3 linked regions of the Rhinolophus ferrumequinum genome follow. The protein of the gene in region 3 interacts with the protein of the main gene of each other region in a pairwise test. Links are inferred from orthologs where the notes say so. Each region holds a gene or a part of one and is shown on either strand. Other genes may lie near its edges. The genes, in order: HOXA1, ABI2 and SDCBP.

The links.
Region 1: the proteins of SDCBP (region 3) and HOXA1 interact in binary tests that used the Homo sapiens proteins (3 or more experiments, as listed by UniProt). The two-hybrid records come from large-scale screens. The link is inferred for Rhinolophus ferrumequinum from reciprocal best matches to the Homo sapiens genes SDCBP and HOXA1.
Region 2: the proteins of SDCBP (region 3) and ABI2 interact in binary tests that used the Homo sapiens proteins (3 or more experiments, as listed by UniProt). The link is inferred for Rhinolophus ferrumequinum from reciprocal best matches to the Homo sapiens genes SDCBP and ABI2.

The regions. Positions count from the first base shown.
Region 1 is NC_046303.1:14,536,470-14,544,519, forward strand, and holds HOXA1 (homeobox protein Hox-A1), read left to right. Parts: upstream 1-3,463; 5' UTR 3,464-3,567; coding exon 3,568-4,213; intron 4,214-4,799; coding exon 4,800-5,155; 3' UTR 5,156-6,316; downstream 6,317-8,050. UniProt on the Homo sapiens protein: Sequence-specific transcription factor. Regulates multiple developmental processes including brainstem, inner and outer ear, abducens nerve and cardiovascular development and morphogenesis as well as cognition and behavior.
Region 2 is NC_046291.1:28,614,065-28,622,114, forward strand, and holds the start of ABI2 (abl interactor 2), read right to left. Parts: upstream 5,655-8,050; 5' UTR 5,436-5,654; coding exon 5,319-5,435; intron 1-5,318. UniProt on the Homo sapiens protein: Regulator of actin cytoskeleton dynamics underlying cell motility and adhesion. Functions as a component of the WAVE complex, which activates actin nucleating machinery Arp2/3 to drive lamellipodia formation.
Region 3 is NC_046297.1:20,114,553-20,122,602, forward strand, and holds the start of SDCBP (syntenin-1), read right to left. Parts: upstream 5,036-8,050; 5' UTR 4,896-5,035; intron 4,773-4,895; exon of another isoform or gene 4,753-4,772; intron 1-4,752. UniProt on the Homo sapiens protein: Multifunctional adapter protein involved in diverse array of functions including trafficking of transmembrane proteins, neuro and immunomodulation, exosome biogenesis, and tumorigenesis.

The sequences.
Region 1 (8,050 bases), on a different chromosome or scaffold from region 3:
CGTTCAGTCATTCTAGGATTCTTTTTTTAAGGGTCAGAAAAATCAATATTTCATTCTTAAATCTGTTTACATGGCAAATAATGGATCATTAAAGCTTTGAAGTCAGGTTAGCAAGTTGAGATTTAAAATGGAGTATTTCTGCACCCTAGGTTATAAATTAATCCAGTTTCTAGAAAGAGAGATAAAGCACTTTAAATGATATATCAATAAAATGTGATCTAGGGTATATTACTGGGTTGTTCTGTTTTTTTTCCCCCCTCCTTATGTCTCCCCATATTTATTTTTCCCTTCCTGAGCTCTGTTCTGACGGCTACTTACCGTGAGAAAACGCAGCGTGTAAGCAACATGTGTGGGGGGCGGGTTGATTTAAGAACCCAGCTCTTAATAGCAAAGGCTTGGAAGTTACAATGAAATCATGGTCTTTCTCCAAGGGTTTGCTATCTACCTTCCCCCACCCTTTTACCCCCAAATCCCAGCAGCGGCGGAGGCGTGTGAGGACCCTGGCGGGTCTCCTGCCCCGGGCGCGGCGCGGAGCAGGGCGGCCCGGCAGCGGCCAGGGCTGAGCCGCTGTTTGCGATTCGTCCTACGCTCATAAATCAAACGCTTTCTATGAATGAGAATGTCATCAAAGAGATCAATTGCAGGAACACATGCACAAATAAAAATCCTCTTACGTATTTGCCGGGGATCCCCGTCCGAAAGCATTAAGTTAGAAGGCGTTTAGTCATAATTCATTTTTATTGCTCTTTTAAAACAACAGCTTGGCTGAGCCGCGTATGCCAGGAACAGCTCGCGGCCTCCGCAGCGGCGTTTTGTCTCCTCGCTCCTTCCTTCTCTAGTAGAAGAGCCCCGAAAGAGGCGGTTGGAGCCCAGCAAGCCGCTTGCAGGAGATCATTTAAATAGTGGCCAAGCTCGCTTTCCACCCACTCTCCCCGGGCGTTTAAAGGGGCTTTAGCTCGAGTCGTAGGGCGCTGGCCTACTTGCCCAGAGGACCGAGGGTCTCCTACCCGGCAGAATGAGCCCCAGGATTTCGTGGGGGTGGGGAGCTACGGAAGCCTGCGGGCTCGCGGCCAGGGAGGCTGCCTTTGTGAGCAGCACCGGGAGAGCAGCGCTCAGGGCGGCCAGCCGGGGCGGAGCGGACTCAGCTGCGAGAGCCGGGCCTGCGGGGAGAGGGGAGCACTGCGCTGAGGCGGGTGGGTAGCCAGTTCAAGTGCCTGCCTCTGTGCCCGTTCAAGCTTGTGATCCCAAGAAATACACCCACCCCTGCTGGCCCTGAAAAGAGCCCGGGAGGGAGGAAGAGAGGAGAGAAGAGGTCGAGAACTAGCAGAGGAAGGACAGCGGTTGTGGCGGGGGTGGCTTTGCGGCGCGAGCCTTGCGGCCTAGGACGTCGCGTAAACCCCGGGCGGTGGAGGCCAACAAAGGGGCAGGTATAAGGCAGGGGGGAGAACATACCGACGAGCTTCGGCTCGGATTGCAGATCGTGCGCAATGCCAGCAAGGACCCCCTCATGTCCTGCCTCCATCCCCATAGTAGCCCCTTCTCTCGCCGTCACTGAAGGCCTTTGCGCTCCCAAGGAAGCCGCCTCCAGGAGGGCCGCCTTGCCTTTTCCCTTCTCCAGGATGAAGTTCCCCAAGTGCTGAAATTGGGTCAGGAGTGAGCTTTCCTGCCTGTGCTCCCTCTTAACCGTGATTGGGGATGGGTCAAAAGTCACAGGAAAATAACTTTCCAAAAAGAAATGTTTAGGGAAAATGTTTCTTTGCCACTGAGGGAATCCACAGTCAAATGTCTGCAAGAGTTTTCCCTCTTGGGAGGACACGTTTTGAGGGAACTTCTGTATATGGAGAACAGAACTCAGAATACAATCCTTAGATAAATTTCATCTGTCTAATTCCGATGTGGTAAACATGGTCAGAGTAAAATCTAGACTGCATTGGCTGCGAAGCTTCCTGGATGATCTCTGGATTTCTACCTAAGAATGCTTCAATTCTCGGTCTCTGTTTGGCCTTTTCTCTCCACAAGCCAAGGGTTGACATGAAACCTAATAGTAAACAGCAATTAACGACCCCGTCAGAATCTGGGTAGGATGAGGGTGATGGAGAACAGGACCCCTGGCCTAGAATGACACTCAGATTTGCACGTGTCTCTCTAGGGAAAGATCTGAAGGTTCACACAAGGAACTACACAGTTACAAAAAGGAGGAGGTGTTGTGGGGGAAGAAGAAAATGTCCCGTCCACCATCGGCCATCTGTTCACCGCCCCTCCCACCTGCCAGCCCCCATCCCCAATTCAGATACGCAGTAGAATGGGGTGGTGGTGAATAAAGGAAGCTCTATCAACTCCTAACATTCTCCCTCCAGAAAACGAGAAACGTTGCGCGGGGGGTGTGGGGTGGGAGTTGAGCGTACTTTGTGGGAGCTGTAGTCTCGCCCTTTGAGGGCTCAGCCGCAGCGCGCCGGCTCCTGGGTCTTGGGGAGCCGGCAGATGGCCTGCAGCGCATGGCCCGGCCCCCACGCTGGCCACGTCCGCTAGCGTCATCTTTCTCCCCCGCCTCCTAACCCTCAAAATCTAGCGGCCGAGCTGCTCCGGATCCCATAGGGCTCCCAAAGCAAAGCTGAGTGGGGAGGAGAAAGGGGCGGAGAGCCAGGAGAGAGGGAGGGCGGAGAGCCCAGCGGCCCCGGCCTTTTCCGGCGAGCTCAGCTCCGAGGGTTCGGCCAGCTCCCGGGCGTCAAATTACCGAAGCTCCTCACACCCATGCTAATAGTCCGTGGGGGAGGTGGGGTGGAGGTTAGAAGTTTCGGAGACCCTCCTTGGAGAAGGGAAGTTTCTTTCTTGTCCACGTCTCCTCCACGCCCTCCCAGCCAGCCCTCTGCGCACTTCCTTTCCATTCCGAGTCTGGAAAGCTGGTGGCCCATCCTTAACCGAAGCCACCATGCTCTGTGCTCCTCACTGCCCCAAGGCACCACAGCAGGGAATGTGCAGTGAAAGCTCCGGGGGAGCTTGGGCTGCTGTGCCGGCCCGGTTCCTACCCTTCCTGCTCGGCGCGCTCCGATCTCCGGCCCACTGATTCCCGACCCAGGAGAGCACGGAGCTCTCTTCCCTTCTCACCTCTTGCCAGTTCATCTTTCTGAGCGCGGTGGGGAGGGGGCGGAGACGAGAAAGGGATGCTTCCCAGCCCCCACCTCGGGGGGGGGGAGGGCGAACGGAGTCGGCGCGCGGAAGGCAAGCCTCTGCTCCCCTTCGCCCCAGAGCTCGGAATCTGCCCTAGCAGCCGCCGCAGCTGCTGCCGCTGCCTGGGGGGGCGACTGCGCGTCACCTAGACTGAGGAGCGCCGGGGATTTAAATGCCACTGAAACGGTGATCCATCACTGCGGGAGCCAGCAAACTTTCGCAGGAGGCTCCGCCATTGGCTGACATAGTCACGTGCCCCTCCCGTAGCGCCCTCCACCCTCCCGCCCCCCCCTTGCGCACTGTACATTCATATCATTTTTCTTCTCCGGCCCCATGGAGGAAGTGAGAAAGTTGGCACGGTCACCCAGGACTTCGCAGGACCCGGTTACTCAGTGACAGATGGACAATGCAAAAATGAGCTCCTTCCTGGAATACCCCATCCTCAGCGGTGGCGACTCGGGGACCTGCTCAGCGCGAGCCTACCCTTCCGACCATGGAATTACAACTTTCCAGTCGTGCGCGGTCAGTGCCAACAGCTGTGGCGGCGACGACCGCTTCCTAGTGGGCAGGGGGGTGCAGATCAGCCCGCCCCACCACCACCACCACCACCACCACCATCACCCTCAGACGGCCACCTACCAGACTCCCGGGAACCTGGGGGTGTCCTACTCCCACTCGAGTTGTGGTCCAAGCTACGGCGCGCAGAACTTCGGTGCGCCTTACAGCCCTTACGCGTTAAATCAGGAAGCAGAAGTAAGTGGTGGGTACCCCTCGTGCGCTCCCGCTGTTTACTCTGGAAATCTCTCATCTCCCATGGTCCAGCATCACCACCACCAGGGTTATGCCGGGGGCGCGGTGGGCTCGCCTCAGTACATTCACCACTCATATGGACAAGAGCACCAGAGCCTGGCCCTGGCCACGTATAATAACTCCTTGTCCCCTCTCCACGCCAGCCACCAAGAAGCCTGTCGCTCCCCTGCATCAGAGACGTCTCCAGCGCAGACCTTTGACTGGATGAAAGTCAAAAGAAACCCTCCCAAAACAGGTCAGTCTTGCCATTCCATGATGTCCCTTGATGATTGTGGAAGGAGTTTGTATGCTTAGTGTCCAAGGGATATATATATATATATACACACATATATACACATATATATATACACACACATATATACATATATATACACACATATATACATATATACATATACATATATGTGTGTATATATATGTGTATATATATATATATATATAATTTTAAGTTCTTGCTACACACCAGTGTTGTAGGACGTGGGGAGATTGCCCTGGTGTGTTGGGGCAAAGGACCGTCTGGGACTGTTGTGTTTTCAAAGGGGCTGAGGATTAGAGGTTCTGGAAGTAGGAAGTGGGAAGTTGTGTGTGCTGGGGGAATTCTGTTAATATCTATAGGCTCCATTAATCACGGGTCTGACCACGCTAATGGCTGACTTCAGATTAACACTTTACACCTCATTACTCACCCTCCCCAGACTGGTGTGTGTTGTGAAATTCTTGATCTCCCTTTTACCTGAATATTGTTCTGAAACTGTAGGGGATCTCATACTGATTGTAAAAATTGTACCTTTTTCTCTGGTCGCTTCCCACCCTGTCCCTAGGGAAAGTTGGAGAGTATGGCTACGTGGGTCAACCCAATGCGGTGCGCACCAACTTCACCACCAAGCAGCTCACCGAGCTGGAGAAAGAGTTCCACTTTAACAAGTACCTGACGCGCGCCCGCAGGGTGGAAATTGCCGCGTCCCTGCAGCTCAATGAGACCCAGGTGAAGATTTGGTTCCAGAATCGCCGAATGAAGCAGAAGAAACGAGAGAAGGAGGGCCTCTTGCCCATCTCTCCCGCCACCCCGCCGGGAAGCGAAGAGAAGGCCGAGGAATCCTCAGAGAAGTCCAGCTCCTCGCCCTGCGTTCCTTCCCCGGGGTCTTCTACCTCAGACACCCTGACTCCCTCCCACTGAGGTCGGCCCAGCCCCAGACTCCTCAGCCCAGGCTCTTCCTGGGCTGGGACTTCTTACCCAAAGCACATTCTTAGCTTATCTTCCTTTCCATTTGCAGTCTCTCTCTTTCTGATCCTATCTGGGGAGCTCCTGGGCAGGATAATGTGTTTCCAGAGAATTCTTCACTTGATCTGGGGGGTGGGGTGGGGTGGAGGATGTTAACTCCTTAATGCAGATTGGGTGCCAGCATCACTTTTCTGATGGCTCCTAACACCCCTCCCTACTTTTAGGCAATTTCCGCGGAACCTTCTGTTCCTTTCAGATGCCCTTTGGAAAAGTCTCCTTTGCCAGCAGAAACATGTCAGAGAAAGGCCTCTCATCTTTTATCTATTTGTATATTTACAGTTCTCTCCTACTTTGACCTCAAAGAATGATAGAGAGAAAGGAGAGAGTCCAGGAGCTCATGAAGAAGAGATGCACTATGAGTGTGTTTACACGATTTGTTTTTTAATTTAATTCAGTTTCATGTGTGTGAGTTTGCTGGTTGTAAATACTTTGTTCTGAGAGATTTATCTTTATACAGATTTTTTTAGAAATGTTTAGATTAAGTGACTAAAACAGGGTGGGCAAACTCTCAAAGCTGGTACAATTTTATATGTGATTCTAGGTTAAAGAATAAAAGGCATCATTTCAACTCAATCAGTTGCCTCAGAGGGTAGCCTCAATTTATTCTTTTAGAGAGTTAAGAAAGCCTGCAGAACACAAGGTTCAGAAACCTTGTTTCCTGTGCTTAAGTCTCCCTTCATCCCCACCCCTTTCTTGTTTCTCTGGCCACACCACTCTATTTCAACTCTGTGCTGGATTATTCAGAACCTAAAGGTATTATTCAAATGAGCTTCTTCTTTCTACAGTTATCTTAGCTGGAACTGGTGTATTTTCAGCTCAATTGTTAATGTGATGGATGGCACAATGAATGTATATTTTGTGTGATTCGTGAATAGTCTTTTGCATGTCGCACAATGTTTTGATGTCCCTGAAGTACCACACTGAGTTCTATCAGTTATCCTCTGTGAGCCTATGATATTCCCCATTTCCTGTACAATCATGAGCAGCTCTGAGATCCTGGAGTGATGTGATCCAGAGCAGAGTTTACGGGTCTTAAGATGTCTGTAATAAATACATTCAAGTTTCAGATATGCTTAAGCATCCGTGTATTTGGCTTGGTTACTATTTGTTGGTTCCTACAAAGTTGGCTCATTTCATGTGGGGAAGGGGAGACAGGTGGTGTGCATTTTCAAGGAGGTGGGACTTCCCTTGAAAAAAAAGTAAGCGCTTTCTAATACATAGGTGAAGCGTCCCCATGAGTGTAATTGCACCTGACCAATGTCAACAAGAGGTTGATTTTCTTTAAAATAGCAACAGCTCCTTTATTATAATCAAAGTTCATAATGGAAAAAATAGTGAAGAAATTTATGAAGCAGATCTATTTTTGAAACCAACATGGGTACTTCCTGGGTCAAGTGCTAACCTTTTCACCTCCAACTGAATGTTGACATATATATAAACAGAACTCCCTTCAAAAGCCAAACTCTTCAGTCAGTCTTTCCTCACATCAGTGAACCAAGAGCTAAGACATTCACATTTAATTAGATCCAGTATAAAGCTGTTTGAAGATGGGGCCCCATCCCATGCTTCTTCCTTGTTTCTGGATTATCAGTGTTTCAGTATATTCTACCCTTTAAATTGAGTGTGTTCTCTTTCAGTAAACCCTTGTATACCTCCTCCCATTGCTCCTGTCCATATCTATCCCATCCTGGCACCCTCTACATGCCTCCCCACCCCCGCCATCTCCTTTAGGTTACACATCTCTCATTCCCAGCATATTCAGCTTTGCTTTCATAGACATCATGGCTGTAATGGGTCCTCAAGTTCTAATTCCATACCACATAAGCCTGAAAAAAAGTTTTTATTTTCTTCTCTGGGCTCAACAGGTTTTTCCAGGTGAACTTGTGGAAATCACGCCGAAGTCCATTTCAATATTTGTGTCACTTATGACCAAAGCATGTGTTTGCTCTCAAACAGAATGTCAGCAAATCAAAGAGTTCCAAGTGGCTCGCCTAGATTCCTTAACACTTTTCCTTTCCTTTCACACATTTTTAGAGGCTTTAATTTTAGCCCCAAGGGTAGAGCAAAAATTTTACAGCATCACAACAAATACAGACATATGACTTCCTTCCTCTCCAAAGGGTGTTTTACAAAGGATGGGCTAACGGTAGGAGGAGGAAATCCTACAGAAACTCGAAATTTGCAGGCCCCTAGAACACCCATGAGATTTCCTGTACTTCCCTGTCAAAGGGGACAAGCCTGGACTTTGCAGGCACAGTTGCTGCGGCCATATCAAGGGCACCCGGTGCCCTCCCCTCGGCTCCTGGATTCTGGGGTTGCCTCTAAAAGACTCAAGTGGATGGAGAAGAACTTCAAAGTCGGCCAACTCTTTCTTTCATTTCCCCTCCCTGGCCTTATACAGTATCTTTTGTTTATTAGTGTAAGGCCACACAGCAAAACAGATGGCTGGCTTCCAAATACTTTAATGTGCTAAAGTGCCATTTGCATGCCACTGCCGAGATTTCAATATCCAAAAGCAGGGCCCGACGCGCTGGAATCCTGGAGATTCCAATCTTCAAGGTGGTGGTTTTAATGTAGCTCAGAGAGAAGAGAACGATAAATTATGGGTAAACATCTCAAGCCTTCTTTAGGTCATGAAATAAATCAGTTAATAAGCAATGCATTTAGGAAACATTAATATACCTTTCAACAAGAAAAACGTTTGTATCTTTTTAGTTGTCCCAATCGATTAAATCAAAGGCGCTTAACACATCCTAATTTCAAGGTCTCTCTTTTTCTGTTTTGGTCTCT
Region 2 (8,050 bases), on a different chromosome or scaffold from region 3:
CCCACACAAGGGGCACACTGGAAGCACACAGCAATGGTGACCAGACAGACGTGCCACTGGGTGTCACAGAACACTTACTACATAAGGCCACTCTGATAAGACTGGGAGACATAGCAGCTCTACTTAACACATAGAAACAAACACAGGAAGGTAGCCAAAATGAGTAGACAAAGAAAGAAACATGTCCCAAATGAAAGATCAGAACAAAGCTCCAGAAAAAAGCTAAACAAAATAGAGATAAGCAATGTACCAGATGCAGAGTTCAAAACACTGATTATAAGGATGTTCAATGACCTCAGGGAGAACTTCAACAAAGAGACAGAAAACATAAAAATGGAAATAGAAAACACAAAAAAGAACCAGTCAGAAATGAAGAATACATTAGAGAAAATCAACAGATTAGATGAAGCAGAGGATCAAATCAGTGATTTGGAAGATAATGTAGCAGAAAACACTCAATCAGAACCACACAAAAAAAATTTAAAAACTGAGGCCTCTGGAACAACATCAAGTATACCAACATTCACATCATAGAGGAACCAGGAGGAGAAGAGACAGCAAGGAATTGAAAAACTATTTGAAGAAATAAATGATGATGCAAAACTTTTCTAACCTGGCAGAGGAAATAGTCATACAAGCCCATGAAGCACAGAGTCCTAAACAGATGAACCCAAAAAAGCCCACAACGAGACATATCATAATTGAAGTGCCAAAGATTAATGACAAAGAGAGCATTTTTTTTTAATTTTTTTTTTTTTAGTTTCAGGTGCACAAAACAATGTAATAGTTACTCGACATTTATCATTTACATCCCTCACACAGTGTCAACTCCCCTCCCGACAAAGAGAGAATCTTAAAAGTAGCAACAGACAAGCAGTTAGTTATCTACAAGGGAACTCCCATAAGACTATCAGCTGTTTTCTCAACAAAAATTTTGCAGGCCAAAAGGGATTGACACAAAATAATCAAAGTGATGAAAAGCAATGACCTACAACCAAGATTACTCTACTCATCAAAGCTATAATTTACAATCAAAGGACAGATAAAGAGATTCCTAGACAAGGAAAAGCTAAAGGAGTTCATCACTACCAACCAAAAAAGATAAAAAATATGAATAATAAAATGGAAATAACTACATGTCTATCAAAAATTACTTTAAGTGTAAGTGGATTAAATTCTCCAAAAGGCAGAATGGCTGAATAGATAAGAAAACAAGATCCTTACATATGCTGCCTACAAAAGACTCTCTTCAGATCAGAAGACACACACAGGGGTGACCGGTTGGCTCAGTTGGTTGGAGTGTGGTGCTGCTAATACCAAGGTTGCCAGTTCAATCCCCACATGGGCCACTGTGAGCTAAGCCCTCCTTAAAAGAATCAACTATGCCACTGTATCATGAAAGCAATATGTAACCAATGACCATAGCTGTTTCCCAATAAAAACAAAAAACAAAACAAAACAAAAACACACACACACACAGACTGAAAGTAACAGGATGGAAAAGATATTTCATGAAAATAGGCACAAACAATCAAAAAGCTGGGGTAGCAATGTTTATACCAGATAAAATAGACTTTAAATCAGAGGCTATAACAAGAGACAAAGAAGGACCCAGTAATCCCACTTCTGATTATTTGAAGAAACCCAAAACACTAACACAAAAAGACTTATTTATCCATGTTCATTGCAGCATTATTTATACTGTGGCCAAGACATGAAAGCAACCTAAGTGTCCGCCAATAGATGAATGGATAAAGAAATGGTACATATATACAACAGAACATTACTCAGCCATTAAAAAGAATGAAATCTTGTCCTCTACAACAATATGGATGAATCTAGAGGGTATTATGCAGAATGAAATAAGTCACAGAGAGACAAATACTATATGATTTCACTTATATGTGGAATCTAAAGAAAATGAACAAAGCAGAAACAAATATAGAGAACATTTTGATGGTTGCCAAATGGGAGGGGGTTGGGGTAATAGACGAAGGGGGTAAAGGGATTAAAAGGTACACATTAGTCATGGTGATGTAAAGTATAGCATAGGGAATATAGTCAATAATATTGTAATAACTATATATGGTATCAGATGGGTACTAGATCTATCCGGGTGATCACTTCATAAGTTATATAAATGTCAAATCACTATGTTTTCCTCCTGAAACTAATATAATATTGTATGTCAACTGTAATTGAAAAATTAAAAATTATTTTAAAAAATCCTTAACAATTACTAAGTTCTTTTTTATAGGCAAAAAATAAAGAAAATCAATTGGGTAAATATCAACAAATTGTAGTTATAACTTTTTATCATCACATTTTAGAAAAAATACTTTGACTATCATTTTCTCTAGAGGTTGAAGTAATAAAACAAAAATCATCTAAAGTTTTACCAAAGATGGTTTTTAAATTTCTGATGTTAACTGGAAAACTACTATTAGTAACCTGGAAAACTACTACTTACAACCCTGCTCTGCTCTACTTGTAGATTTTGTGTGCATGTTCATACAGGCAATACCTAATTATTCGTAATGCTAATAATGTATCTGAAGGATATTTTTATAAGATAGAAACAATTTAAACAGTACAATTGTTTTCAAAAGGACTGTGCAATCATTTGCCCTCCTTTGCTCAATTTCACACAACATAATTCACATGTATTCTTATTTATCTTATATTTTTGGATATTCTTATGCATAAAACCAGCTATTTATAAACACTAAGCAAAGAACCTTACCTTTTGTTACATATGAGCAGATTTGTCCTTTTTCGGCTTTACAAGCATAAATTACATTTCCACAAAATAAAACGAGTGTTTGGTTTGTTAACTTAAGGTAGTGGTTATGGCATGAAGCTATAATAAAGCTAAATTGACCATTTGGTCACCGATCCCACCAATTAACTTTCATCTATTGCAGGGTCAAAGGCAGCAATTGCAGGGTCAAAGGTAGCATTAAAACCCCAGCTAGTCAGTTCTTTGGGTTACAAGGAAAGATATCCAAATGTGCAGCTGGGTCAGCACAAATCACTATCACCATGTTCTATTTATCAACTTTACTACAAACAAATCATATAAGAACTGTCATCTGGGAAGAGAATATCAATAATATACCCACTAGATCCTAAAATAGATGATAATATAAGAGGTAATAATGTAAAATCTATTGTAGATGCTAAATTGAAGAAATATTTTAAAATCCAAATCCATTTCTATTAATCAATATTCATACTTTGAATTGTAAAATGCCACCACACTAAATTTTGAGTCCCACTGAAAGACACATAATGGTGGCAGTAACATTCTCTTTTCAGCTGGAAAAAATGTAAAAAATATGTAAAAAGACAATCACTGATCCCTTGAACCTGTCAGCTTTATTAACCCATGTACTTTCACATTTACGTAACAATTGTAATCTAAGGGGAACTATACCTTGAAATTACAATAAAAATTATCTTCCAAGGGGAGACGAATCTGTTTCTTTTCTTACTAGTAATAAGCGCAAGCCAATCACTTTTCCACCCTGTTTCTCTACTGACCTTTAACTCTTTGCAATAATATGCTGCATGAGGCAATGCAATTACCACTTCCACCCTTTAGATTTGCCTCTCCTAGAGAATGTGAATTCCCTGAGATAGCATAGCTTCCTTCAGTCCTTCTTCCCACTGGCAGGCAGTCCATTAGAGTATAAATCGACACATTATATGGTATTCATCTGCTCTCCCAGCAGCCCCTCCTCCTAACTGCACTGTGGAATTGTGTAGATACTAGGTGTGCATCATAGAACCCTTGACACAGGGCCAGGCCACAGAAGGCTTTTGAATATATTTAGTGGAAAACTGAGCAACTGAATCTTTGAATCTCTCCTACCCTACTCAGTATCAGAAGCGCTCCCTAAAAATATGGACAACTGTATTTTTGATTATATCTCTAACCCAAGACATATTCTTTCTTTTCCTACTAGCCATACTTTCAACTGCCTCCTTGGAGAGAAAAGCCTTGGATCACGACTGGTTCATTCTCCAATATAAACATTCCCTACAAGATAATATAGAGTTCAGTATATGTCTAATCAAGTAAAACCTCACAATACCATCCCTGATTAACCACGTGGTTCTTACAAAATTTATGAAACTATAAATTTTAACACCTATTTTTTCAGTTTACACTAAGACTTGAGAATGCTTTCCAATATAGCTGATGTTAAGGAGGATGCCTGGAGATATGGGAGCCGGACAAAAAAGACCATAGTGAAGGAACAATTTAACATACTTCTTCTATTTCCACCTTTATCCCAAGAGGATTTAAATGGGAAGGGAAAACATGTGATTCAGAGTCCGCCATAAAAAAAAACAAAAGATGCTGAATTTGCAAACTGTGCGTTTTAACCTATTCTTTCAAATAATTTTTAAAGGATTTTTTTTGTTGTCGTTAAATCCACGGAGTCTTTACTTCATCCAGGAGCAGCTGAATCTCATCTCACCCTGTATCCCCCACCTCCACACATACACACGCAGCGCTACCATATGAGTCTCGGTGCCAAACCAACCATCAGGGGAAAAATTAAACCATGAGGATCGTTTCCTAATTTTCTCTGAAAAATCGTCACAATTCTTCTTCCCACAGGAAAATAAATTACCTATTTTAATGGGATGGGGCGAGGGAAGTTTATCATGCAGCTTCTCATTCTCCAAAGGAGGAAAAGAGCAGTAACTTCAGAGAGATAACTGCTCTGCTGTATCAAGGGTTAGAACCTAAAACGCAAGCAAGCAAGCAAAAAAAAAAAAAAAAAAAGGTCTCTTGGGGTATTCACATGAATAGAAAACTGAAGCACTTTACTTTGCAGCAACACAGTCCCTTAAATATTTTCCAAAGCTTGAGGGAAGAGGATGACCCATCAATCGCCCCACACTCCTGCCTTTTAGGGGAGCAGGATTCTGTCAAATAGAAAATGCCACTCTCCGGCTCCTCCGCCATCCCGAACATTGAATGGCACAAAGTGCGGGGGCGACCGAGGGCAGAAGTGAAGAGGTAGGGACACCACACAAACACCGCACCGAGGACTGATTCATGGCTTTTTAAAATGTTTTAAAGCTAGAATTTCATCCAGCCAGAGGATTCTCACCCATTCACCAGCCCCAGCTCCCACCCTGCTCCTCCCCCAAACCGCGGGCTCAGCTGGGCCGTGTCCCCGCCGCGGCCTCGGCCCCGCAGCCCTACGCCCCCAGGCGCGCGGTCCCCGGCCCCGGGGATCCCCCGCGCGCCACTCACCACCCCGCGGCCCCGCGCGCTCGGGCCAGGAGATGCGTCGCACCTGGATGTAGTTGTTCTCGCAGTAATCGGCCACCCGCTCCAGATTCGTGTAACTGTCGAAGAGGGCCCGGCGGCCCCCCGGGATTTCCTCCTCCAGCAGCATCTGCAGCTCCGCCATCTTCACATCCTCCTCCTCCTCCTCCTCATACAGACCGCAGAGGTACCAGCGGCAACAGCGCCAGGGAAACCCAAGACTGGGAGAGGAGGAGCGGAGGAGACCGCGGCAACTCGGGAGGAGCGAGAAACACCCCCCGCGCGCGACAGGGGAGGGGGCAGCAGGAACGGGGGCGGGGCGCGAGCCGACGGACTCCGAGGACGGTCACCGCGGCGACAGCCGGCCGGGCGCGCGCACGCGCGCTCCCCTTTCTCCGCCCCCGGGCGCCTGAAAAAGATTCCCACCCTCGGCCGCTCCGCCTGCCCCTCCCCCACTTCCGGCGTTTCCTAGCGACGACGGGAGTGGGGGCCGGGATGCGCGCGGGAGTCGGGCGCGCGGTTAACCCTTCGGCCCCCACAGGTTGAGTAGCTGGGGAAGTACCCCCGGCGGCCTTTGTTAGTCCGGCGTGAACGCGCTACTGGCCCCGCCTTCTTCTCGCCGGCGCCCTCCGCGATTCCCTTGGGTGTTATCCTCATTCTGGGGGCCAATGCCCTGGTCATCGGCCTGAGGGATAATGTCAGCCTACAAAACTTCCATGCAGCTTTAAGCGCTGCCTTACTTTTCATTTTTCTCTTCATCTTTTGACCTCATCCATCCTATTTGGGGCAAATTCCAAATTCGTTGTCCCAAATTTTCTGCACTTTAACTTTTTGTGCATTTGCCCCCTAACGCTGTGGTCCCCGGCCAGGTTAGCCTCTGTTCTGTTCTCATTTGCCCCACCACTGGACCACAGCTTTTTGTGCTTGCCCTCTTTATGACTCTCTTCCTCACTGACAACCTTTTCTGTCATTTCTCTGGTTCTGTCAACTTCGTTTTGTGGGGTTTTTTTTGGTCAGTAAAGTTTTGAACACGGTTTTACTAGTACTAGTTTTACTCCTTACAGTACTATCACATGGATAAAATAAGTTTATGTGAAAGCACCTTAGAAAACGTTAAACGCTACAAAAATTCGAGGTAGACCATTTTGATCTTGCAGTTATTCTGTACTTATTTACCAGATGCTGTATCTTTTTCCCCAAATCCAGTTACTCCACGAGTTGTAATCCTAAAAAACCAAAATTCTTGACAACTGCTGAGATATTATAAAGTCCAAGACCTTTATCTGTCCTGTGGAAAGTCAAAGTTGACTACAGTTGTAGTTTAGAACAGGATCCATTATTTTAACTCTTGTTCATGCTTTTGTGATCTCTTGTTCCCTCTACAGTAATTCCCTCATTTTTTCCCAGATGGTAAGGAAACTACTGGGAGGTGCCAAAAAACAATGTATACAAGTGGATACTTTGGTCAGTGTTGCTCAAGCAGTAGTTTGCTGCAATCAGAAGTGTCTGGATACTGATTGTAACCACTTTGAGCACCTCTTGTAATTGCAGAAGTGAAATGTAACTTCTATTCATCTTTTGTTATCGGTATTTATTATTAGGATTTTAATAGTTTTCCCTTCTTAAAACGTGTATACATTTTTTAGCACCCTCTGTGTATCAAAAAAAAATCATTTTAATGCCATATCGTTACAAATTTCTGGAGGAATCTATGATGTTAATGTTGTATTGGCTTTATGATGAACATTAGCAAATTGTTTTGAGTTTCCACCATGGAACCCAAATTAAAAGACAATGAAAATGTTGATCCAGTCCAACTAGTTTTATTCTTAACCACTTTAAACATCTTCTGTATTAGTGGTTCTCAAATTTCAGTTGTGGGGAGCTTGTTAAAAATGAAAGCTACAGTGTCCGTCTCCAGAGATTCATTTAGAGAGCAGTAGTGATGGAATGGGATAGTTACTTAAATGGCACATAAATTTGCTTCAGGGAATAAGACACTTATGAATAATCAAGTGAATGAAACATTAGATCAAGCAAACCTTTCTTTCAGAATAAACTTCAATGGATCAAAAGGCTACTGTTGAACTGTAAGGCGGCCAGCAGGTGAGTTAAATGGTAGACACTCTTCCCCCATTACACTATTCACACTTAGCAATCTTTCAATCCTGCTTAGCAATTACCCCAAAAACAAATCTCCCTGAGGGATGATTCTTCCTCACAGGAATCACTGTGTGAAGATTCTAGTACTTTCTCCAATAAATTGGTGACTGTCTTCTTTGGATCTTAGCTTCCTTATCTGAAAAATCAAAGGGTTAAATTCGGGTCAGTTCTCACACTTCAGTGTGGATTGGAATTACCTGAAGGGCTTGTTAAAACACAGATTGCTGGGTTCCAACCCCAGAGTTTCTGATTCAGATGGTCTGGCCCAATTTATATTTCTAAGTGTCCAGGTGACGCAGATGAAACTGCTCTCTGGCTCTGAAGATCTATGATTCTAATTTCTGGCAGCTGGGAATCTCCACTAAAAGTTTTGCTCAGCGGAATCTGAGGACCCAAGGACATAGACACTTCTGCTGCCACCAAGATAACTTAAGCAAAAACCGCAAGATCTATAAAAGTACATGTGTGTTTATATGTTATCTGAGTGGTGGAATTGTGGAGGTTTTTTTTGCTCATCCTAATTTTCTAAAATGAACATGCATTATTTTTCAAGAGTCCAGTCTCCCCAAATTAGAAAGAATACTTTTATTAATGCAG
Region 3 (8,050 bases):
GCTAAATAATACAGCAGTAATAAAAGAAATATGATTTTTCACTCAGTCATTCAGAAGGACTTTATCATGCAATATTTTGAAACAAGTTCCTGGATGCTATTTTATTTAAAGGATAGCACCATCTTCTTTGATCTTTTATATTTGTACACCAAAATTTACTTGGCGTGGTACATGGCCAAATGAAGCAGGTGTTTAAACAAGATGATTAGCAGGAAACAGTAGAGGTACTTTTAAAAACTCATTGCACTGATTATTGTATTTGATGTTTATAAGAGTATGAATAAAAATTACTTGCAAATATATAATGTAGAAGATGGTCATCCTCCGAATAATGTAATGAGCCATTCAAGTTTTCAAAAGCACTGCATTTTGACAATGCAAGTACAAAAATTGCTATCGGTTCTACTATTAGCAATTTATTTGAATTTAGACTCAGAACTTATTTTGACAACCAAGTGCATAAAGAATCAAAAGTAATAAAAGCTACAATATATTAGAGATGTATTTGAAATCTGGAACAATATTTATAAGATAAATATGTTCCAAATTAATGCACGACAGCTGAGCAATTAGTTAACTCAAAGATGTTGCCCATTTCAGCTATATATACTTCAAAACCAGGAAAATTTAGAACAAAAATCTGGGTTTCTTATGGTCAAGTGATTATCAAATGTTTTCATTATCCCTTTACTTCCACTCATGCAAATTATTCATAAAGTGGCCTAAAATATAAAAATAAAAAAAATCCATTGGATTCCAATGGTAAATAGTGATGATCATGTTTTTTATAGTGTACTGAGGATTAATAAGCATTCCAGATGGTTCATACATAGGGTCAAGGAACGTGTACACTTTGATAAACTCCTAAATAGTCTTTCAGAGCGATGTTTCTCAAACTTGGCTAATGATCAGATCAGAATTACCTGGGCACTGGTTAAAAATAGTTCCCAGTCTGACACGCATTTCATAGAAGAACTTAGAGACTCTTCTTTTTAACAAATATCCAGGGAGATTCTGATGATAGCCTCTAAGAAATATGGTCATATGAAGTCTATTCTAAGTAGAATAATTTCTTCTTAGCTAAAAGATTCCACTTCATATCTACTCGACTGGCAAAAACCCAACCAACACCCTCAGAGTAAGGCTTTGAGAAACACTCATACATTACTACTGAAGTATTAAACTAGTACAATTTCTATAAATTGTAAATAAAGTGATTACATGCCGATACCCTCCAACCCAGCAACACCACTTCAGATCTTTAGTCTACAAATATATTTGTACATAAAAAGTGATATATGTAAAAGTTCATTCACTGAAGCATCAACTGTAACAGCAAAACACCTAAAACAAAGAAGAAAATTCTATATACAATAATATTGAAAGAGGTTCAAAATATTATCATTAACTGTAAAAACAAAGCATGATTTAGAACAGTACAAGTATGCTAACATTTGTGTTAAAAGGAGGGGAACTTAAGGAAATAGAAAAGGAAGTGCAAAAAAAAAACAAAACAAAAAAAAACCCTAAGGTAGCAGAAGGAAATATCAAAGATTAGAACAAAGATAAATAAACTAGAGAATAGAAAAAATAGAGAAAATCAATGAAACTAAAGTTAATTTTTTTAAAGATCAACAAAATGGCAAACATTTATTTTAGCTACATGAACTAAGAAATAAAAAGAGAAAACTAGAAATAGTAAAACCAGAAATGAAAGTGGAAAATTTACCACAGATTCTACAGAAATAAAAAGAATTATGAGAGTACTAGGAACTGTATTACCAAAAAGTAACCTAGATGAAATGGACAAATACCTACAAACACAAAATCTACCAAAACTAAATCACAAAAAAATAGAAAATCTGAATAGACCTATACCTTGTAAAAAGAATGAATCAGTTTCAATCTCCTAACAAAGATACAAAAGATACTATCAACAGAGTAAAAAGGCAAACCACAGAATGAGAAAAAATATTTGCAAATCATACATCTGATAAGGGATTAATATCCAGAATATTTAGAGAACTCCCAAAATTCAGCAACAACAACAAAAACAAAATTGTCAAACATGAATAAACATTCCTCCAAAAATACACGAATGGCCAATAATAATAAGCACATAAAAAGATGCTCAACATTGCCAATCATTATGGAAATGCACATCAAAACTAAGAGATACCACCTTATATCCACAGTTACTGTTAAAAAAAAAAAAAGAAAGAAAGAAAGAAAATAGGTACTGGTGAGAAACTAGAACCCTTGTGCACTCTAGGTGGGAATGTAAAAGGCTATAGCCACCACAGAAAACAGTATGGCAGTTCCTCAAAAAATTAAAAATAGAATTACCATATGATCTAGCAATTCCACTTCTGGGCATATACCTAAAACAATTGAAAACTGGGTCTGAAGATATTATTTGTACACCTACGTTCATAGCAGCATTATTCATGATTGCTCAAACGTGGAAGCAACTCAAGTGTCCATGGACAGATGAATGGATAAGCAAAATGCGGTATATACCAGGGATGACAAAAAAATGTATACAAGTGGACACTTTGGTAAATGTTGCTCAAGCAGCAGTCCGCCGTAATCAGAAGTGTCTGGACGCTGACAGTAACCACTTTGAGCACTTCTTGTAATTGCAGAAGTCAAACGTGACTTGTATTCATCTTTTGTTACCGGTATATATTGAGTGTTACAATTTTAATAGTTTTCCTTTCTTAAAATGTGTATACATTTTTTGGCACCCTTTGTATATACAATGGAATATTATTCAGCCTTAAAATGGAAGAAAATTCTGCAATATACTACAACATGGATGAACCTTGAGGACATCACAGTCAGTGAAAGAAGCCAATCACAGAAAGACAAATAATGTATGATTCCACTTATATGAGGTACTTAGTCAACATCATAAAGACACAAAGTAGAATGGTGATTGCCAGGAGCCAGGGGGAGGAAAGAATGGGGAGTTACTGTTTAATGGGTATAGTTCCAATTTTAAAGATGAAGAGAGTTCTGGGGATGGATGGTAGTGGTGATGGTTGCACAACGTCTATGTACTTAATACCACTGAACTGTACAGTTAAAATGGTTAAAATGGGAAACTTTACACTATGTGTATTTTACCTCAACAAAAAGAGTGGAAAAAAGAAAAGGATGGAAATATATTTATACGTATGTTTGTCTGTATAGGTATAAAATACCCCAAGATGGATACCTAAGAAATGTAAAACAGCTGGCTCCTATTACAAGGGAATATAGTTGGCTGGAGAACCTAGAAGGAAGGAAGACTATACCATATACCTTTTTTACTGCTTAAATTTTGAACCATGTTACTGGTTACTTCCTCAAAATCTATATAAATATACCAAAAAAATGTTTGCAGGAGTTAGAAAGAAATTAGTAAGTGCTAATATAACTATTACTAGATGTAGGAATTATTTTTAAAAGTATTTTGAGGGATCTTTCTTTTTCGAAAGATCCCACAAAACAGGAAAAAAATAGTTGAGTCATGCTCAATTTAAGGAAGTGTTTATTGACTACTTCATTCGAATGCCACTATTAGTAAATTCTTCCTCTTTGGGTCATGATTTTTATATCCTTTCTTATAACGCACAAACATAACTCAAAATTAATGTTGTCAAAGTTATATTTAGATTAAAGTATTATAGTAACTACTTCCTGAACCTTTTAGAAGACATTTCACTTCTTTATTTTTATTCTGTGGCACAAACCATTGGATCTATCATTTGTATCAATGTACCATTTAAAACATAAAAGTTTGTAGAACAGACTTTTTTGGTAAGTTGGTAACAGAAAATAAACTCTTTTATTTATTTATTTTTTTACCGTTTGCCCTCAACTGCAAATAGAAAAACTAAAGACTGGAGGAATTTGAGTTAAATCACTTAATATATATTTGATATAAAGCTAAGAGCATGCAGTGTAATTTTCCTTTTTAATCGATTGTTTTCTTCTTTGAAGCAAGTTCATGTTAAGAATTTAGTAAACCAAGTGTACTCTCTGAGTAATGGACTTACTAATGGAAAACATAACAGTAAATGTGCATGCAGACAACATATACAGAAAAGAGGAATCTAGAAATTCCTTTCAAAAAATGGCACATTAGAAAACTCCATGATTAAGTAATTCCACTTTAGTGAAAAGGAAAACTTTACGTCCATATGCCTTCACTTTTCCCATTATTACCAGGAAATCCTGAAATGAAAGCTCTGAGTCACGAGATCTCAAGGGATACTTCCTTCTGAACACACCCTACTGGAAACGTTTTTCCCTCTCCTTCAATTTCTCCAGAAACAGGCCCGGAGAACAATCCCCTCCCCCCCACGCCCCCTTCCAGAAAGTCAAGGCTTCGCCCACTCAACAAACAACCTCCTCCTCCTACCAAATCCCGGACGTTCCGATTGTGCCACCAAGGAAGGTGATTAAGTACAACCCCATGGAATGCGAGGGTCGATGAAGCATAGCCAGCGGGCTCGTTCTTCACGGGTCTCTGAGGATCTCACCCAAGAAGAACAAAAAGGGTTGACAAGGACCGGAATGAGAAAGAGTCCCAGAGCTGAGGCGGGGGCTGACGGCGGCGCCCCGGGCCCGGCCTCAGGGCTCTGTCCCCAGCCCCGGCCCGGGAGGGACCACGACACCCGCAGGGTCGCAGGCAGGCACAGCGCGCCGCTCAGGCAAACTTTCACCCCGGGCCCGGGAGGGCGCACGGGGGGGTGCGGAACCCACCGAGGAGAGGACGTCGCCGCCGGCACCTCCCGAAACCCGTAGACGTTCTCCGCTTAGTGATCCAGGGTCCCCACGCCTCCGCTCCTTGTCCCCGCGCCCCGGACGCAGCCTGAGCGTCCCTCTTCCTCCTCAGCGATGCTTACCTAGGCCGCGGAAACCAGCTCCTGCCACCGCCGCCTCCGGTCACTGGCACGGACTTCCGAGACCCGAAGGGAGGAAAGCGGCGGGCGCCCGAAGACCGCCCTCGAGTCGCGTCACGGAACCACCCCCGCCGTCCACCCGCGCAGGCGCGCGATGCCCAGTCAGGTGACCCGTCCCCATGGTAACAGGGCAGCGGTGTGGTAACGGTGACCGGGCCGGGTGCGGGATTGAAGAATGTGGAGCCGCCCACGCTGACACCGGTTATGCTCACCACCTTCTCCACCCTCTCAGTAGTTCCTGCCCAAGGGCCCGGTGCCACCTGCTCACTGCTGTGTTCGTGGCGCTTGGTCACGTGGTACCCATCCCTTCCGACACAAAGAAACTCCGAAGAACCTATCTTTTGGAGATTCCTACCCCAGCTTTGGACTTCACCACTGTGGTCACTAACCTCTTCACCCACAGGCTCAGAAACATTCCTCCCACCAACCTTTTTCAGCTCCTGCCCTCTTTGTGTTACAACTTATTTCTTTGACTTTTATTACTCTTTGTCTATCTGAACTAAAGTTCATTGGCTGTTGAAGGTTGTGTAGTCCTGCACAAAATTTCTGTATCCTAATATAAAAACTGAAAACTGTATTTCTTCAGGGCTAACTATGTTCCAGGCACTGCCCTAAGAACTTGATGTATATAGTCTTATTTGGTCCTCACATCAATCTATAAAATAGCTAACATCTGCATTAGCATACAAAGAAACTGAGGCACACCTTTCCTAAGTTACCTAAGTTTACCATAGTTACCATGGAGTAACATAGAATACGAAATAGCATTAACGTAGAAGCATTTTTTGTCTAGCTGTTATTTAGTGCCACAATAAACTGGTAATTCTAATAAAAATCTGAGCAGAAAAGAGATGACAAGTAAATAAGATGAACACTGCCCTCAGAGAATTTATGGTCTAGTTGATAAAATAGACATTTAAAAATAATTACACGCTAGATTGGGAAAAAAGAAATAAAACCATTTTTGTTCGCAGGTGGCATGATTATGTACACAATCCCAAAGAATTGGGCCCTCTCCCCAAAAAAACCTAAAATTAATACACAAGTACAGCAAGTTTGCATGGTACAAGTTTAATATACATAAAACTATTATTGCTTTTTGTATACTAGCAGTGAATGATTAGAATTTGAAATTAAAGAAACTATCATTTATATTAATGCAAAAAAGTGAAATACTTTGGTATAAATCTAACAAAATATATACAAGATCTATATGAGTAAAACTATAAAATCCTGATGAAATAAAAGATCCAAGTAAATGGAAGTATATTCCATGTTCATAGATAGTAAGATTCAGTGTTGTCAAGATGTCAGTTCTTCTCAACTTGATAGATTTGACACAGACTCAATCAAAATCCTAGTTATTTTTTTTATATCAACAAAAATCCCAGAAGAGCCAACATAATATCGAAGAAGAGAACCAAGTCACAGGCCTAATAGTGCCCTACATCATTAAGCTATGTAATCAAGACAATGTGTTATTAGCAAAAGACTAGACAAACAGATGAATGAAACAGAATGCAGAGACAAGAAATAGAATACAGAGGCCAGAAATAGGTTCACACAAATACTCACCCAATGGATCTTTGGATCAAAGGAGCAAAGATGGACAAAGGATAGTCTTTTCAACAAATGGTGCTGGAACACCTGGGCTTCTACCAAAAACAGAGAAAAAAATCTGTGGGAATGAATAAATTTGTAGTTCAGTTGGACAGAAGTGCAGATACATGAGGACCCCACTTTGAGGATCCTGTCTAAAATGGAAGCTGTCTTGTTAGACATCTTGTCTATAACTTGTGGTATCTGATGCTAACTCTGGGTTGTTAGTACCAGAATTGAATTGAATTATAGAACACCCAGTTGGTGTCAAATAATTGTTGATGGGATTGAATACACCGTATAACACCAAGAGTGAACCCTAATGTAAACTATGGACTTCAGTTAATAATAGTGTATCAATATTGGTTCATCGATTGCAACAAATGTACAACATTAATTCAAGATGTTAAGAATAGGGTAAACTGTGTTTAGGGAAATGGAAGTACAAGAGAACTCACTGCACTATTTGCTCAATTTTTCCATAAACCTAAAACTTCTTAAAAAATAAAGTCTATTAATTAAAAATATAATAATTGCACAGATACAGTTGTGATGGGTGTTTGAAGAAAAAGTTCAGGGGACTATGGAAAGATATCACAAGGGAACCAAAATTAGTCCAGGAGTTCAAGGAAGACATCCTTGAAGACAGGCTTTTAAGTTGAAGAGTAAGCATTAGCTAAGTAACAAAGGGAGGAAATGTTTCAGGCAGAGAATAGCAAACACAAAAGCATTATGGTTGACTTGAAACTTAATGCATTTCAAGAATTGAAAGGCCGTTTTGGCCAGAACACAATAGTAAGGAGAAGGAATGGCTTAAGACAAAGCTACAGAAATGGGCGGAGCTCTACAGAAGTTACTGAAAAGAATAACATGATTAGATTTACATTTAAAATGCTTACCCTAGTTACTGCTTGGAGGATGAATTGAATGTGTGGATCAGTCTAGGAAACTACTACAGTGAAAATGGAGAAAATCAGAAAAATCCAAACAACATTAGGGTAAAGAATCAGGAAGGCTTCATGGTTGGTGTGATGTGGATTAAATACAGGGAAGTTCCTAAAATAAGTACCAGGTGTCTGGCATGAGCAGGTAGGTGGACATTGGCACACTTGTTAATGTGGGGTACACTAAGATGTGCAGATGTAGGCGATGGGAAGATTAGAAGATTGGTTTTGGATTTGTTAAATTTGAAGTGCCATGTGAGTTACCAGGTGTAGTAGGCTGAATAATGGCCCTGCAAATATGCCCATGTCCTAATCCTCAAAACCTGTAAATATGTCACCTTACATGATAAAAGGGACTTTCCAGATGTGATGAGGTTAAGTATTTTGTGATTGGACAATTGCTCTGGATTATCCAGTTGGGCATGATAGAGTCCACAAGAGAAAAGGAGAGGGGTTAGGGGCACGGAGGGGTGAAGTAGAAGCTATTAATAGAAGATCGAAGTTAGGAGCAGAAGCTGTAAGGAAGACAGCAGAGATTGAAATTATGGGGCCATG